Linked DNA regions of Xenopus tropicalis. The protein of the gene in region 2 interacts with the protein of the main gene of each other region in a pairwise test. Links are inferred from orthologs where the notes say so. Each region holds a gene or a part of one and is shown on either strand. Other genes may lie near its edges.

Region 1 (4,061 bases), on a different chromosome or scaffold from region 2:
TATTGTGTCTTGCCAGTAAGTCCTATAATGTTTAATACCTGTAGTGTATTTTTTTTTTTTTTTTATGTGTAGAGATCCATGCCCCTTAAAGCTACTGTACCATAATAATATATCGGCCATCTGCTATGCCAATTGAGTTCAAAATCTATAGAACAACTGCATAAAAAGTGATCTTAAAATAAACACATGTTGTTCTACAGCATCATACTCACAAGACTGTGCGTAAGCACCTGCATTGCACTGTATTTTTAATGCTCCTTGCTCTGTTTTCAATCAGCTGTAAACCAAAGTTTGCAATGCAGTCTGTGAAAGCACATTTATAGCCTATGTATATTTCAACATCTGCTGCCACCCACTGAATCTAAACACACCACAAATGGCCAGTGAACATGGAGAGACTGTGGAACACAGAATACTGAAAAAGAATCTCTGTATCAGGAGACTAAAAACAGAAAAAAAGCTTACCTGCTACCTGAAACACATTCCTTTTCTCCATCTGCAGTTACATTTTACAATGTATGCATGGCAATATCCTAGTTGTTGTATAAAGTGATCACTTATACATACTACTGTCACACATACATAACTACAAGCATGGACAAAATATTGTGCATTTATAATCATATTGAAAAAAACAAACAAACATACACCCTATGTGTTTAATGCAATGCACATTAATATTTCAGATGCATGTGGATACACATCCTGCAACAGTAGTTGCCAAACTGTGGGTATGGCCTCACAGGGAAGTACTAGAAGTACTAGAAGGGAGGGCCAAGCCTTAAAGTCAATTTTGGATAAGGAAACCCTGATTCACTGAATGGTGCCAATATGTTAGGAATGCTATATACTGGCTGCAGTATCAGGTATTTCTACCTCAGCAGAGTACAAATGGAAATTTTTACCCTACTGCATATACATCTCAGTCTAAATCTAAAGCAGGACACCTGGGTAATGTAACTAAGATGGCAGGGGTGGCATTTATTTTATATGCAGGCTAACAATTCACCTTGCATGGCCATACCCTTAAGAGTAAATGCTTATCAACTATATTGGGCATGCCTAGAATTTCAGTAAGTGCATGTGTACTTATATTTGTAAACTTATTAGGAGCCAAGGAGGGGGCTGTACCCAGAGGTGATCAGTTGGATTGAGATCAATCTTTTTCGCTTGCATCTCAGCAAACCAATTTGTGCAAGATGGGTATTAATATACTAGACATAAAATGACCTTGCCTAAACTGTTGCCACAAAGTATAAAGAAAGAAATGATCAAGAATGCCATTGTTCACTGAAGCTTTAAGCTTTGCTTTTAATAAGACCAAGAACCCTATCCCAGACCATTAAAAAGTGGACCCAGACACCTATTCATTTCCAGCTTTATTGTCACCCTTACACATTCAAGCAGGTAGTAGTCCTACTTGCATCTACCTTACCCAGACTAGACTAAGTCAGACGGGCAAATGCGAGGAATGATTCATGCCTTGAGAGAGGCATCTTCCACCTCCTTGGAGTCCAGTGACATAGATCTTTACACCACTCCTGCCAACACATGGCATCACACATAGGGGTATATTTATCTTGCTGTGTAAAAAGTAGTGATATTGCCCAAGGCAACCAATCAGCAAGCAGATTTCAACAGTTAGAAAACCAAAGCACCTGATTGGCTGCTATGAGCAACATCACCGGTAATGTTTCACTCCACATACTCGTACACAGCAATATAAATAAATCCCATAGTGTTGTGTGCTGCTGCTCAACAGAATAAACACTTCTGATGAATAGTTCTAGTGCTGACATTGCATCCAGAGACAGCTTGGAATCCAGCAGCAAATGTGTTAATACTGAGAATATGTGATAATAGAAGGGTATTCACCCCACCAATAAAACCTAAAATGCCCAAATTCAGCAGCCCTCAGTTATGTCCAACCTTCTTTAGCCTTTGAACTCTAATTCCCAGCAGCCCATGCCAGCCCACATACACCTAGCTGCCACATGCTGGAGGTGGTGCATGATAGGAAACAACTGTGGGGCTGCAGGTTGGCCCTGCTTTGCACTTATCACAACCACTCAGCTTTAATATCAATGTGCGCTAAATCTGCGCCCCATCCCCGCCTTCAACTCATTTATTGTGCGAGGATCGAATTCATTTACAACTGCACTGAAAAAAAGAGTCCCTATTGCAAGAACTTACACGCCAGAAAGTAAAGGCAATAGCACAAAGGCTTCCCCCACGCACTAATGTATTCACACAGACAATATGCAGCGCTACAGACCCGCACACTGAATACAATCATTCGCATGTAACAGCAGCTCAGTGCGCGAAGCAGCTGCCTGGGGACCCTCAAAGGAAGGGCCAGCATCGGTGGCGAATGGGTGGGTGACTTCTGGGTCCTAAAGGGAACCGGCAGCGCTGCAGGATTACCGAGCCCGTTCATGTCAATGAGCTGCACACTTGTGAAGGGAGGGCGGGAGCGGGGTGCCAGCATGTTCTTTCTCCTACACAGCTTGTATTCTGCTTGTTCTGTCACAGAAGTTTTAGTCCCGGGAACTGAATAGGGTAGGAGGGAGTTTGAACTTCACCCCCAGCTTAACCAATCCAGCTCTACCGGGACTAAAGCTTCTGTCACAAAACCACTGGTACAGAAACCTATGTATGGGAAAGAACATGCTGGTACCCCAGCTCCCGCCCTGCCTCCCCAAGTCTGGAAGTAAGTGCATACTGCAACAGTCCCGCTGTTCCTCACACAGCCCTTAGTCCCGTATCGCTACTTACATCTCCCGAAGAGCTTGTTACTGCAGGCTCCGGTCCTACACACACTCCCAGCGCCACATCTCTCCTCACGCGAGACTGGCATCGCCGCTACACGTAACGCACTGACACATTGGCGCGCCGCCTTGTGGGAGTGACGAGCCGGCCTGGCTCAGTGTTACACGGTGGGAAGCTGCTAGGCAGCCGCGGTTGGTCAGCTCCCAATCTCTTTTTCCAATGCTCGCACCTCCTACTTTTGATAGAGAACAAAAGAAAAAAGACTTTTCTTTGGTGTTGGGTGACCGCCATGCTCGCTGCCGCCTCTGCCCCCGATGTTTCCTCAGAAGTCATTCATATTTTCTAGTCGGAGTTCTGAATTGTGACAGGGAACGAAAGAAAGACTTTGTCCTTGTTGCCAACAGTACCTGCTGCCATCAGAGCCTTGTCTCGAAAAGCCACTGATACACACTTTCATATTTTAGCTACCTGAAATTAATGTAGATATTAAGATGTTCATCAAAAAAAGAAAAAGAAGCAGTGCACAAGCTGTTGACATCACAATATTTATAAAGTTTGTGTATACACCTAGGGGCTGATTTACTAAGACACGATTTCGAATCCGAATTGGAAAAATTCCGATTGGAAACGAACATTTTGCGACTTTTTTGGTAATTTTGTGTTTTTTTCGTATTTTTTGCGATTTTTTCGTATTTTTTGCGATTTTTTCGGCGTCTTTACGATTTTTGCGGAAAAACGCGAGTTTTTCGTAGCCATTACGAAAGTTGCGCAAAGTCGCGATTTTTTCGTAGCGTTAACACTTGCGCGCAAAGTCGCACCTTTTTCGTAGCGTTAAAACTTAAAAGGCGCGACGTTTCGCGCAAGTTTTAACGCTACGAAAAAAATCGCGACTTTGCGCAACTTTCGTAATGGCTACGAAAAACTAGCGTTTTTACGCAAAAATCGTAAAGACGCCGAAAAAATCGCAAAGAAAACGCAAAATTACCGATTATTACGAAAAAAACGCAATCGGACGCATTCGGCCCGTTCGTGGGTTAGTAAATGTGCCCCCTAATCTATGCTAGTATTTTCATTAGATGAACAATTCTCCATATTATAATTATTTTCACAAATGGTACTTATTAGAAATCTTTTATAAATGTATAGTCGCTTTTGGGGTGCCAAGCTACATAATAGTCATTATAGTTATTGTGGACTAAAGCTGTCCAACCATAAAACATATTTTATTATACAGGGGCACTGCGGCCATAAGGCGAATTGAGAAACTCGTCTCAGGCAGCAGCAGCCCTCAA
Region 2 (3,569 bases):
TTCAACCCTGCTTTCTGGTTTTTCTAGATGTGACCCTGTTTTGTGATTATACCAATCTCATTATATCAAACTGTATTTAATTCTAATTTTAGTAAATATTAATACAACCAAAAATGAATATCATTTATGGGTTTATGGTAAACATTGCCTCCATGCATACTTTCCATGACCTTTAAGGTTTAGTACAAGAATCAGAGTCCATAAACAGTTCTATTTTTCTAATAGCACTTTAGTCTCTTGGCTATAGTGCCCCATTATGCTTTACTCCTTGATTATAAAGTGACAGATTATAAGAGCAGAAGCCCTGCAACTACTGGGGACTGAATATAATACTGTGCTAGTGGTTGGGCCTTCTATCCGAGTGTCAGTTAGTCTCCCTGACCCATCACTTACCCACGAGAAGTTTCCGATGTACATGGACACCCTGTTGCGCCCACTGTGGTACAGGACTTCAGGAGTCTTGTTGTTTGACATAGGAGAAGTGCTCTGTACTGGAGATGTTGGTTCCAGGGCACTGCTGTTCCTGTTGCTCTCAACATGCGAGGAGGAAATCGCTGGCACAGCCAACACATCATCATACAGGTCTACCTGCTCAGCAGCAAACTCCGACTCCTATAAGAAAGGTGTAGCACAAGCTTAAAAATGAAATTATACAGGCAAATTAAAGCAGAACAGCCATAGCAACACACCTTTGGCTACTACTAATAAGGGGATTGCAGGATATATTACACAGTTCAGAGAATGCGCTGATGGCATTTTATATATAAAAACAAATGTATTATTTATTTTAAGCTGAAAGGGGAAAAGAAGGAACAGGTGTTAAGCAGAATGAAAAGGGCAGCATGCTTCATGGAATCTAGTTATTGTGTTGTAGTTGCAGCATAAGGACCAGTTCAATGAAAGATTTTTTATATTATATATATATATATATATATATATATATATATATATATATATATATATATTCACACATGTATGCACTAGTTTCCAAACAATTCCTCAAGGTGTACAGTCAACCAGAAATGCAATCAGACAGCTCTCTTATACCATATTTAAAAGATAAGTTTCTTTATTTCACATACCACAAGGATCCTAGATTAATGGTCCTAATGACGACTGAACCACTGCACACAAGTGGTAAAATAAAGAAACTTTTGTTAATTTAAATATGAGAGTGTTGGTCTTTATCAAAGACATATACCGGTATATCTATCTTATAGGGGAATGCATGTGCATGTTATATGCAAGCTCTATGGTACATCCATGTCTGACTGGAGCTTTGCACATTTAGGAATATAAAACCTACGTATAAAAATAGACTATTTTTCTTTTTCAAGCCAAAACTGCAACAGCAAGAGAGTAAAGGTGGACAAGTACAAGTTATAATAACAATCTTTCTTGCAGAAAAAATTGTTTGTCCACTCCACTAACATTAAGAGCTGAATGGTCAGATAGGGGTAGAATTCCTGTTGTTTCTACCTGCATATCTGATGATTCACCATTAACGTATAGGTGATGTTTGGGCAACATAAAAATTTTCAGACCTGACCGATGGACAAGACGACCATTATCCAAAGCTTTTGCGATACCGGTCGCCTAGTCAGCCCACCATACATGCACCGAATAGCGTATGAAACCTCGTTTGTACGAGAATATTGTGAGTGTATGGGCACCTTAAGCAATCCCTATATTCCCTATTATCCTACAAATACACAGCTAATCACTCACTTACAGGAACTGACTTCCCAACATGCCAGAGGGTTATACAGATTAGGTGCTAGGAAAAGCTAGTTAGTTCTAGAGTTACAATAGCTCCCATTATCTAACCACTCATTTACTGCAGACACACAGCAAACTAATAATAATAACAATAATAATAATACTGGGGCCCAGTGCATGCACATAGGGAGTGATACAACACATTTACTCAGGATCCATTTAAACAAAAAAGATGAATCACTCTCATGTAAGTGCATTTACCCAGACAGAACATTCTAATATAGGCATCTCTACAGGGAAAATCTATTCAGTGTTGGACTGAGACAGCCAGACACCAGAAAAACACCCGGTGGGCCCCACCAACCCAGTCCTGCTCCTAGGGCTGCCACGGGGCACTTTACATGCTCCCTGGACATACCTTTTTGATTAGCAGGACTTATAGCCCTCCCCCATAAGGATATCATGAACAAGTGGATGGTGCAGGACTAAGCCCAAGATGCAGGGTTGGAGCTGTAACCCAAATACAAACCCAATAGCAATGCCCAGCTGAGACACATGTGGAAGCTGGACATCAACAGAGAAGGCTTGTGCCTTATTTCTGGCACAGTCAAGACATTTTACTAGAGCTTTTTTCTCAGACCTACCTGTTCTACAGGAGCAGCAAAAAGTATATTTCCTTCCACAACCACATTTCTGCTAACGATGAAACACAACGACCAATGTATTCAGGTATGTCAACTTATGGCTCCATCATATACAGATATATTATATACACAAGCTAAATTTGCCAGAATATTCTTACCTCTGCGATGCCTGGGTGGCTACCATGCTAACATAGGTGTCAATTTGCAGTGTCAATAGCAACAACTAATCCATTCTGCCCTATGAAGACAGGCCTGCACTATAATTTCTACTCCACAGGGTTGTACAATACAAACAAACCCTATTTTAATGCTGCTATAAGTAACTGCAAGATATGTAGTAGCAGTACCAACCTGTACTTACAGATGCCTGAAAACACTCTGCTTATTGCAGATCCCCCCAAGTAACACCAAACCAACCCCAAAATAAACCAAAAGAAACTGGGGGGCAGCTGAGACTATAATTAACCAGCACCTGGGCTAGATAAGATAGATAAAGAGATATATATTGTGGTATAATTTCACAATACCAAATCTGCAGCCCTCTAACTGTTGCTAAATTGCAATGCCGAATATCCCATAACTACAGGAATGGAGATCCAACCTACCTGCATTGACCCTCTCTATTCAGGACAAAGACTGTTGTTAGTTTTATATGGATTTTATGCACAACAGGTCTACACACCCTATTTACATATTGTACTTGGTATATATCAGATTATAGCACCCAAAACCCATAAATATTCTGTAAATGATATCCTTAGAAACCGTGGTCTGAATAAAGCCACTCAGCCTTCATTTCACGCTTTTATATGATCAAGGGACTCCTCAGCAACAGTGAGAATTACTCCCTATATTATCCACTGTTTATACAGCATTAGTATGTTATCCATAGCGGTAGAGAAACTGGGCATAATTCATATAAGCCTCTGTCCCATAGCAAGTTAAGGCCATATCACAATCACATAAGTCATATTCACTAGGGTCAGCTTCATCAGGCTTCAGTTAATCTGCCTGTATGTTTAAGCAGTATAATAGATCCCTGTTGCACAGAACCATAAATAGGAGCTGCCATATGTCTTGCCTCGGCAGGCACATTCATTGATGTTTTTAACATTGCCCTCTACTGGTCATATACAGTTTGCATTATTCCTGTGCTGACTGACAATATACAATCCTATATATTTTGTTACAAGGGATGTGTGCATA
Region 3 (3,569 bases), on a different chromosome or scaffold from region 2:
TCACTTCAATTGTTTTCTGTGGCTTATATGAATTATTCTTTCTAGTACCTCACAATCTCTACCTTTGAATCCAATCACTGCTGAAACATATGCCTTCAGTTCTAGAACTCCATAATGTCATTTTGCAGTTGTTTCTACTATACAGCTTAGCAGAGTTTAATTTCTGCCCAGCAACCAGCACACGTACAGTACAGTTTGTATATTATGCTCTCTTCAAATTTTTCAAGACGTCCAATACTACATTATTTGAATACAGAACTTGTCAGTGTTTCACAACATCCACTTGTTTCATTACCACTAACTTTATCTCTTAATATTTTTAAAGTTTTTCTTCAAATTTCTTGTAGGGTTCCATGACAACATCTTGGTATTCTTTGCACTGTTGCATAGCTTTTCACAGAAATTCCCCCCAATTTATTGCTCTTCCTTATTCCTTGTATCAAGAAACATGATTCTTTTTACACGTTTTTATTTTTATAAAAAGATTTTATTGTTGAAGGAGGCCCCACCTTTTACCTCATAAATGGCTTTATGTAAGCTATTCTGTAGATTCCTCCCTATTGCTGACTGTAACAAATACTGAAATACCTCTTATTAATTAAGACTGTGATCTGCTTGTGTGAGTGGCTATAAAAGTTTGGGATGTAGAACCTATACCTGGAGTCTCCACTCTCTGGTAGTGATAAGGATTCACACACACTTCGTCTTTCTTCATGTTGAAGGCATATTCACACACCTCCATGGCTCGAAGTTCGTGGTGACTGTGTAGATCTGGCCACCTCCAAAGGCGGCAGTATATGACATGGGGCAAACCCTTGCGATGGGACACCTGGAGCCTTCCATCCAGAGACCTGCATAGGAAAGTCAAATGAATGTGTAATGTAATTACCAGGGATGCAAAATGTGCAACCAACTCCACTGTTACTAGAAAACAAAATTCTTTTTGTCTTCCTGAATTAAAACACCATGTTAATGTTCGTTTTATTCCAACTGTAACTGTTTCTTTCTGCAGCACTGATGGAACACTATGCAAACTGCAGAGGTTCATAGTCTGAGGTCTATGGAATCCCATATAGATGCAACTTTGCAGCTGCAACTCTACAGAAATCTTAAGTAAGCAGCTGCTTTTTTACTTTTTTGTAGCTGCAACTTTCTCGCCTTGTGCATTTTGAGCAACAGTTTTCAAAATGCAAATTTGCAGGAGGTACACAGGATAACTAATGCAAGAAATTATAAATCTGGTGTTGCTTCACTATTACCATACTATAAGAAACTTGAGTTTTTTTATTTAAAAAAATTGAAATATACTTTACATAAAATGACTATAATATTATAGTACCTACAATAGATAGAAGAAAATGCATAAAAATACAAAGTGTAAGGGCACAAAATTAGCAACCATTTCTTTAAATAGGGACCAATCTGGAACCAGTGTACTGAATTATACACTTACCACCCATATAACATATATATTTTAGAAACATCCTGGCAACGTTCCCTTCTGAATTTTGTTTGTGTGTGTGTGTGTAGGAGGGGGTCGTTGCAGTGTTTTGTTGCCTCCTACAATTCAATACAGTCCACTGCTTGGATAGCAAGTGGCTAGGAAATCCACACAGAAATACCCTTCCTTAAACCATGACATTAAAAAAAGAAGACTTCAGTACACAGACTCAACAGTCTAAACAGACTTAAGATCATAGCCTTGAATGTTAAGAATATATATTTACATGAACATATGGCAGAATTGTGAAAAGCGCAAATGTGAATATCACTTTAATTGGGTAAATCATCTTTATGTTAACTTGACGGTCTATGTCATACTAGAAGTTAAAAGTGTTCTAAAGTGAAAAATTAACAGTTTGCAGTTTCTTCATTAAAAAATAAAACTGTCTTCAATATACATTTATTACAACATCTGTACCATTTTTATAAAAAAAAACACGATCTTCTTCCTGCAATTATCCCATTTGCTCCACTCACTCTGGTTACTCAATGCATAAATCTTCAGACAGAAAGTGGCTGCACAGCTTCAAAACCATCAGTGCTGCTCCATGTTCTGGATGGCAGGATGATACAGATTTTTTAATGAACACAGAGCACCTCAATTACACCTTTATTTTTTAAAGGGGAACCTGCAAACAGACTTACTTTTTCACTTTATAAACACTTTAATTTAAAAAGAATGACCCTGGCTGTGCTGATTTGAAAGAGCTTTGCTGGACTATACTTTGCACTTTTTACTACTCTGAAATAGCGCAATAGAAATAGTGTTTTATTTTGAAGCAAGTTTATTGATCAGAGTTATTGTTTCGTTCACACCCTGGAGATGAGCTCTGTGGAATCTATATATCAATCGGAAGGAATAAGGAAACATACAGGATGTGTGACAGGTCACAAAGGGGTGTTCTGGTTTGATAAGATAAACAGTGCAGACAAAGTAAAACACAGAAACAATAAATATAAGGGCATAAAGTAGCACAAGTATCTGTGCCAAAAAAAAATTATAGGTTGAGTTAAAAGAGTAAGGGCACATGAGCATGCTTGAGGATTTTTAGGGGGTTTTGAGGGTACAGTTGTCAATGCAATCTGCTTCTCCTAAATTTGGGATATTTCCAAACATTTTTGCAATGTCGATTAATTCGATCAAAAGCCAAATGCGTAAAAGAGAGGTTTATTAGGCTCACTCCAAATACAAAACAAAAATAGTTAAGATAATTATAGCAAACAAGTATGTAAGTAAAGAAATAACAGATTCTAGTAGAGTCATACCCAAAATTAATGTTGACCCGGGTGTACACAAGACCCCGGGTCTGTTGCTTGTTTCAAATTATTCTGTAAAGAGGGAAAGCTTCTAACGACTTCTAAAACTCACCATTGCCGATGGGTAGTCCGGGTTCCAGAAGCCCTGAAGCTGTAGCTTAAAGGAGCAATAACCATCCATGAAAATGAACAGCTTCAATCAAACGCCGTAACCATTGCCCGATGTCAGTTAAAACATAATTTTATTCACTCATCTAAAACAATTTGCCTGATGCATTTCTTGTGCATGCGCACATAATCATGGGTGATTAATTAGACCCAAATTACCCAATGTGTAAGGGATCTGAAGCTGATCAGCCAATGCTCTAATGTTCTGTGTAAGGGATTATATGCTCTGCGCAATGCAGGGCTCCCCTGTGTCATCCTCAAACTAGTATCTACCAAAGCAGGAGATCTGTGCCTTTAAAGGCCAATTTCAAACCACCACTAGGTGTAAAATAAATATAACATGTACTGTGAACGAAGACAAAAGTATATTTATTGTGCTAACTATCTACAACACAAAGGGGAACATTAACTAATCCTCTAATCCGGATTGGAAACTAAAATTTTGCGACTTTTTCGTCTCTGTCGCGGTTTTTTCCTATTTTGCCCAACTTTTTCGTCGCCGCCACGACTTTATCGTATTTTGCGCGATTTTTTCGTATTGAGCAATTTCGTATTGAGATTGTAAAACCAATCTGAATTTTTCGCGACGGCGACGAAAAAGTCGCGGAAAATATATGATAAAGTCGTAACGGCAACGAAAA
Region 4 (3,569 bases), on a different chromosome or scaffold from region 2:
TATGGGTAGGGGGTGCCATAGTGTTTCCCTTAGACAGTACAGTATGGGGGTACAGCTTATTGTGTGCCCAGAACATTCCTTCTCTGTATATTTGTATTTATACATATGGGTAGGGGCTACCATAGTGTTTCCCTTAGACAGTACAGTATGGGGTACAGCTTATTGTGTGCCCAGAACATTCCTTCTCTGTATATTTGTATTTATACATATGGGTAGGGGCTACCATAGTGTTTCCCTTAGACAGTACAGTATGGGGGTACAGCTTATTGTGTGCCCAGAACATTCCTTCTCTGTATATTTGTATTTATACATATGGGTAGGGGGTGCCATAGTGTTTCCCTTAGACAGTACAGTATGGGGGTACAGCTTATTGTGTGCCCAGAACATTCCTTCTCTGTATATGTGTATTTATACATATGGGTGGGAGGTGCCAGTGGGCGGGGCATGTTACTGATAAGAGTGAGTGCATGGGTTAGTAAATGACTAACATATTTGCCCCTTCCCTGTAGATGCCGCACTCCAGGCGGTACCGTTCTTCAGAGAGGGGCAGCAGGGGCAGTTACCATGAGCGTTACAGAAGCCGAAAGCACAGGCGGAGAAGAAGCAGGTCACGGAGCAGTAGCAGCGACAGAGGACGTGACCGCAGGCACAAGCACGGTGACAGTTACCACGAGAGGTCACGCAGGTAATGGGGCAGCTTGGGGTTATGTGTATCTGCAGTGGGAGCTATAGCCCCTGGGGGGGCAGCTTGGGGTTATGTGTATCTGCAGTGGGAGGTATAGCCCCTGGGGGGGCAGCTTGGGGTTATGTGTATCTGCAGTGGGAGCTATAGCCCCTGGGGGGCAGCTTGGGGTTATGTGTATCTGCAGTGGGAGGTATAGCCCCTAGGGGGGCAGCTTGGGGTTATGCATATCTGCAGTGGGAGCTATAGCCCCTAGGGGGGCAGCTTGGGGTTATGCATATCTGCAGTGGGAGCTATAGCCCCTGGGGGGCAGCTTGGGGTTATGTGTATCTGCAGTGGGAGCTATAGCCCCTGGGGGGCAGCTTGGGGTTATGCATATCTGCAGTGGGAGCTATAGCCCCTGGGGGGGCAGCTTGGGGTTATGCATATCTGCAGTGGGAGCTATAGCCCCTGGGGGGGCAGCTTGGGGTTTTGTATATCTGCAGTGGGAGCTATAGCGCCTGGGGGGGCAGCTTGGGGTTATGTATATCTGCAGTGGGAGCTATAGCGCCTGGGGGGGCAGCTTGGGGTTATGTATATCTGCAGTGGGAGCTATAGCCCCTAGGGGGGCAGCTTGGGGTTATGCATATCTGCAGTGGGAGCTATAGCCCCTGGGGGGCAGCTTGGGGTTATGTGTATCTGCAGTGGGAGCTATAGCCCCTGGGGGGCAGCTTGGGGTTATGCATATCTGCAGTGGGAGCTATAGCCCCTGGGGGGGCAGCTTGGGGTTATGCATATCTGCAGTGGGAGCTATAGCGCCTGGGGGGGCAGCTTGGGGTTATGTATATCTGCAGTGGGAGCTATAGCGCCTGGGGGGGCAGCTTGGGGTTATGTATATCTGCAGTGGGAGCTATAGCCCCTGGGGGCAGCTTGGGGTTATGTATATCTGCAGTGGGAGCTATAGCCCCTAGGGGGGCAGCTTGGGGTTATGCATATCTGCAGTGGGAGCTATAGCCCCTAGGGGGGCAGCTTGGGGTTATGCATATCTGCAGTGGGAGGTATAGCCCCTGGGGGGCAGCTTGGGGTTATGTGTATCTGCAGTGGGAGCTATAGCCCCTGGGGGGGCAGCTTGGGGTTATGTGTATCTGCAGTGGGAGCTATAGCCCCTGGGGGGCAGCTTGGGGTTATGCATATCTGCAGTGGGAGCTATAGCCCTGGGGGGCAGCTTGGGGTTATGTGTATCTGCAGTGGGAGCTATAGCCCCTGGGGGGCAGCTTGGGGTTTTGTATATCTGCAGTGGGAGCTATAGCCCCTGGGGGGGCAGCTTGGGGTTATGTATATCTGCAGTGGGAGGTATAGCCCCTGGGGGGGCAGCTTGGGGTTATGTATATCTGCAGTGGGAGCTATAGCCCCTGGGGGGGCAGCTTGGGGTTATGTATATCTGCAGTGGGAGGTATAGCCCCTGGGGGGGTAAATGGTGAGTTATGTGTGAACCTTCCTGTCCCTTCCCGCCCAGTTACGAGGAGCGCTCGTCGAACAGAAGAGCTTACGATCGGCGGTACTGCGACGGCTACAGGAGGAATGAGTACAGCAGGGACAGGGGGGACGTGTATTACGAGGCAGACTATCGCCACTCGTACGAGTACAAGCACTCGCGGGAGGACAGCTACAGGAGCTGCAAGAGCGCTCGGCGCAAACAGAAGCGGAGAAAGCGCAGAACCAGGTCTTATAGCCAGTCCTCATCGGTGAGTACCCACCCCGACCCCACCCTAATGCCCCCCCTTTGTTTTTAGGGTGGTTTAGAAGAGCCGGTAAGTACTCACCCACTCCTGTGTATTTCTCATGTTTATACCCGGGCCGTGCTTATTGCTGTCTGTCGGGGGATGGGACTGCTCAACTGACCCCTCCCCTTCTGTAAATCTCTGCATGTGAATGAGCCCCACAGCACTGGGAGTCGCAGGGGGCTGTATGTGTGGGTATATTATTATTATTAACATTTATAAGGCGCCAACATATTCCGCAGCGCTGTACAATAAGTATAGGGCCTGTATGGCATGCACCCCTGAGAGCTGTGGGTGCTGGCTTTAACCCTTAGCCTGCTGGCTTTGGGGCTCATCAGTGCTACCAGCTTAATCCAACCTTTTGGATGGGTTTATACTGGGTTTGGCACCAGTGCCAACCTGATCTGCCTGAATAACCCATACGTGTGGCTCCTGGGAACTTGGGCTGTTTGCCCTCATTCCTTAGCCAAACCTGGGGTTCTTTCTATCTCTGCTATTCCCTTGCAAATTCTCTTTGCACTGGTGGGTGTGTGGGGGCCACAGGGAACCCCAAATTCATAGAGGGATACCATCTCCCTCCGGCCTCAGGGCCTGGCAGGGCAGAGAGTGACTCCTGCGCAATCATTAGGATCTGCATGCTTTGGGCCTGGGGCATTGCCTTATTATATAGTGTAATTGCACCTGTGCTGCCAATGGGCTGGGTATGCTGAGGGTAGTGCCCCTGTGCTGCCAATGGGCTGGGTATGCTGAGGGTAGTGCCCCTGTGCTGCCAATGGGCTGGGTATGCTGTGGGTAGTGCCCCTCTGCTGCCAATGGGCTGGGTATGCTGAGGGTAGTGCCCCTCTGCTGCCAATGGGCTGGGTATGCTGGGGGTAGTGCCCCTCTGCTGCCAATGGGCTGGGTATGCTGAGGGTAGTGCCTCTGTGCTGCTAATGGGCCGGGTAGGCCGAGGGTAGTGCCCCTATGTCCATGCAATGTCACTGCTGGATAATGCAGTTCAGCCGGGCATTTGCCTGTACTTGCCCCAATGCTAATGTTTCTCTGGCCCAGGCAGGGGGTGTAATATGTTGCCCAGGGAAGTGCCAGGGGGCAGAAGTGCTTGGGGTACCGTTAGCTCACTAATTCTG

The links.
Region 1: the proteins of cpsf7 (region 2) and nck2 interact in binary tests that used the Homo sapiens proteins (3 or more experiments, as listed by UniProt). The two-hybrid records come from large-scale screens. The link is inferred for Xenopus tropicalis from reciprocal best matches to the Homo sapiens genes CPSF7 and NCK2.
Region 3: the proteins of cpsf7 (region 2) and smad3 interact in binary tests that used the Homo sapiens proteins (3 or more experiments, as listed by UniProt). The two-hybrid records come from large-scale screens. The link is inferred for Xenopus tropicalis from reciprocal best matches to the Homo sapiens genes CPSF7 and SMAD3.
Region 4: the proteins of cpsf7 (region 2) and clk2 interact in binary tests that used the Homo sapiens proteins (3 or more experiments, as listed by UniProt). The link is inferred for Xenopus tropicalis from reciprocal best matches to the Homo sapiens genes CPSF7 and CLK2.

What each region holds. Positions count from the first base shown.
Region 1 is NC_030678.2:110,108,212-110,112,272, forward strand, and holds the start of nck2 (cytoplasmic protein NCK2), read right to left. Parts: upstream 2,819-4,061; 5' UTR 2,776-2,818; intron 1-2,775. UniProt on the Homo sapiens protein: Adapter protein which associates with tyrosine-phosphorylated growth factor receptors or their cellular substrates. Maintains low levels of EIF2S1 phosphorylation by promoting its dephosphorylation by PP1.
Region 2 is NC_030680.2:22,871,101-22,874,669, reverse strand, and holds part of cpsf7 (cleavage and polyadenylation specificity factor subunit 7), read right to left. Parts: intron 613-3,569; coding exon 394-612; intron 1-393.
Region 3 is NC_030679.2:117,404,039-117,407,607, reverse strand, and holds part of smad3 (mothers against decapentaplegic homolog 3), read right to left. Parts: intron 852-3,569; coding exon 658-851; intron 1-657. UniProt on the Homo sapiens protein: Receptor-regulated SMAD (R-SMAD) that is an intracellular signal transducer and transcriptional modulator activated by TGF-beta (transforming growth factor) and activin type 1 receptor kinases.
Region 4 is NC_030684.2:146,294,977-146,298,545, reverse strand, and holds part of clk2 (dual specificity protein kinase CLK2), read left to right. Parts: intron 1-509; coding exon 510-685; intron 686-2,177; coding exon 2,178-2,406; intron 2,407-3,569. UniProt on the Homo sapiens protein: Dual specificity kinase acting on both serine/threonine and tyrosine-containing substrates. Phosphorylates serine- and arginine-rich (SR) proteins of the spliceosomal complex.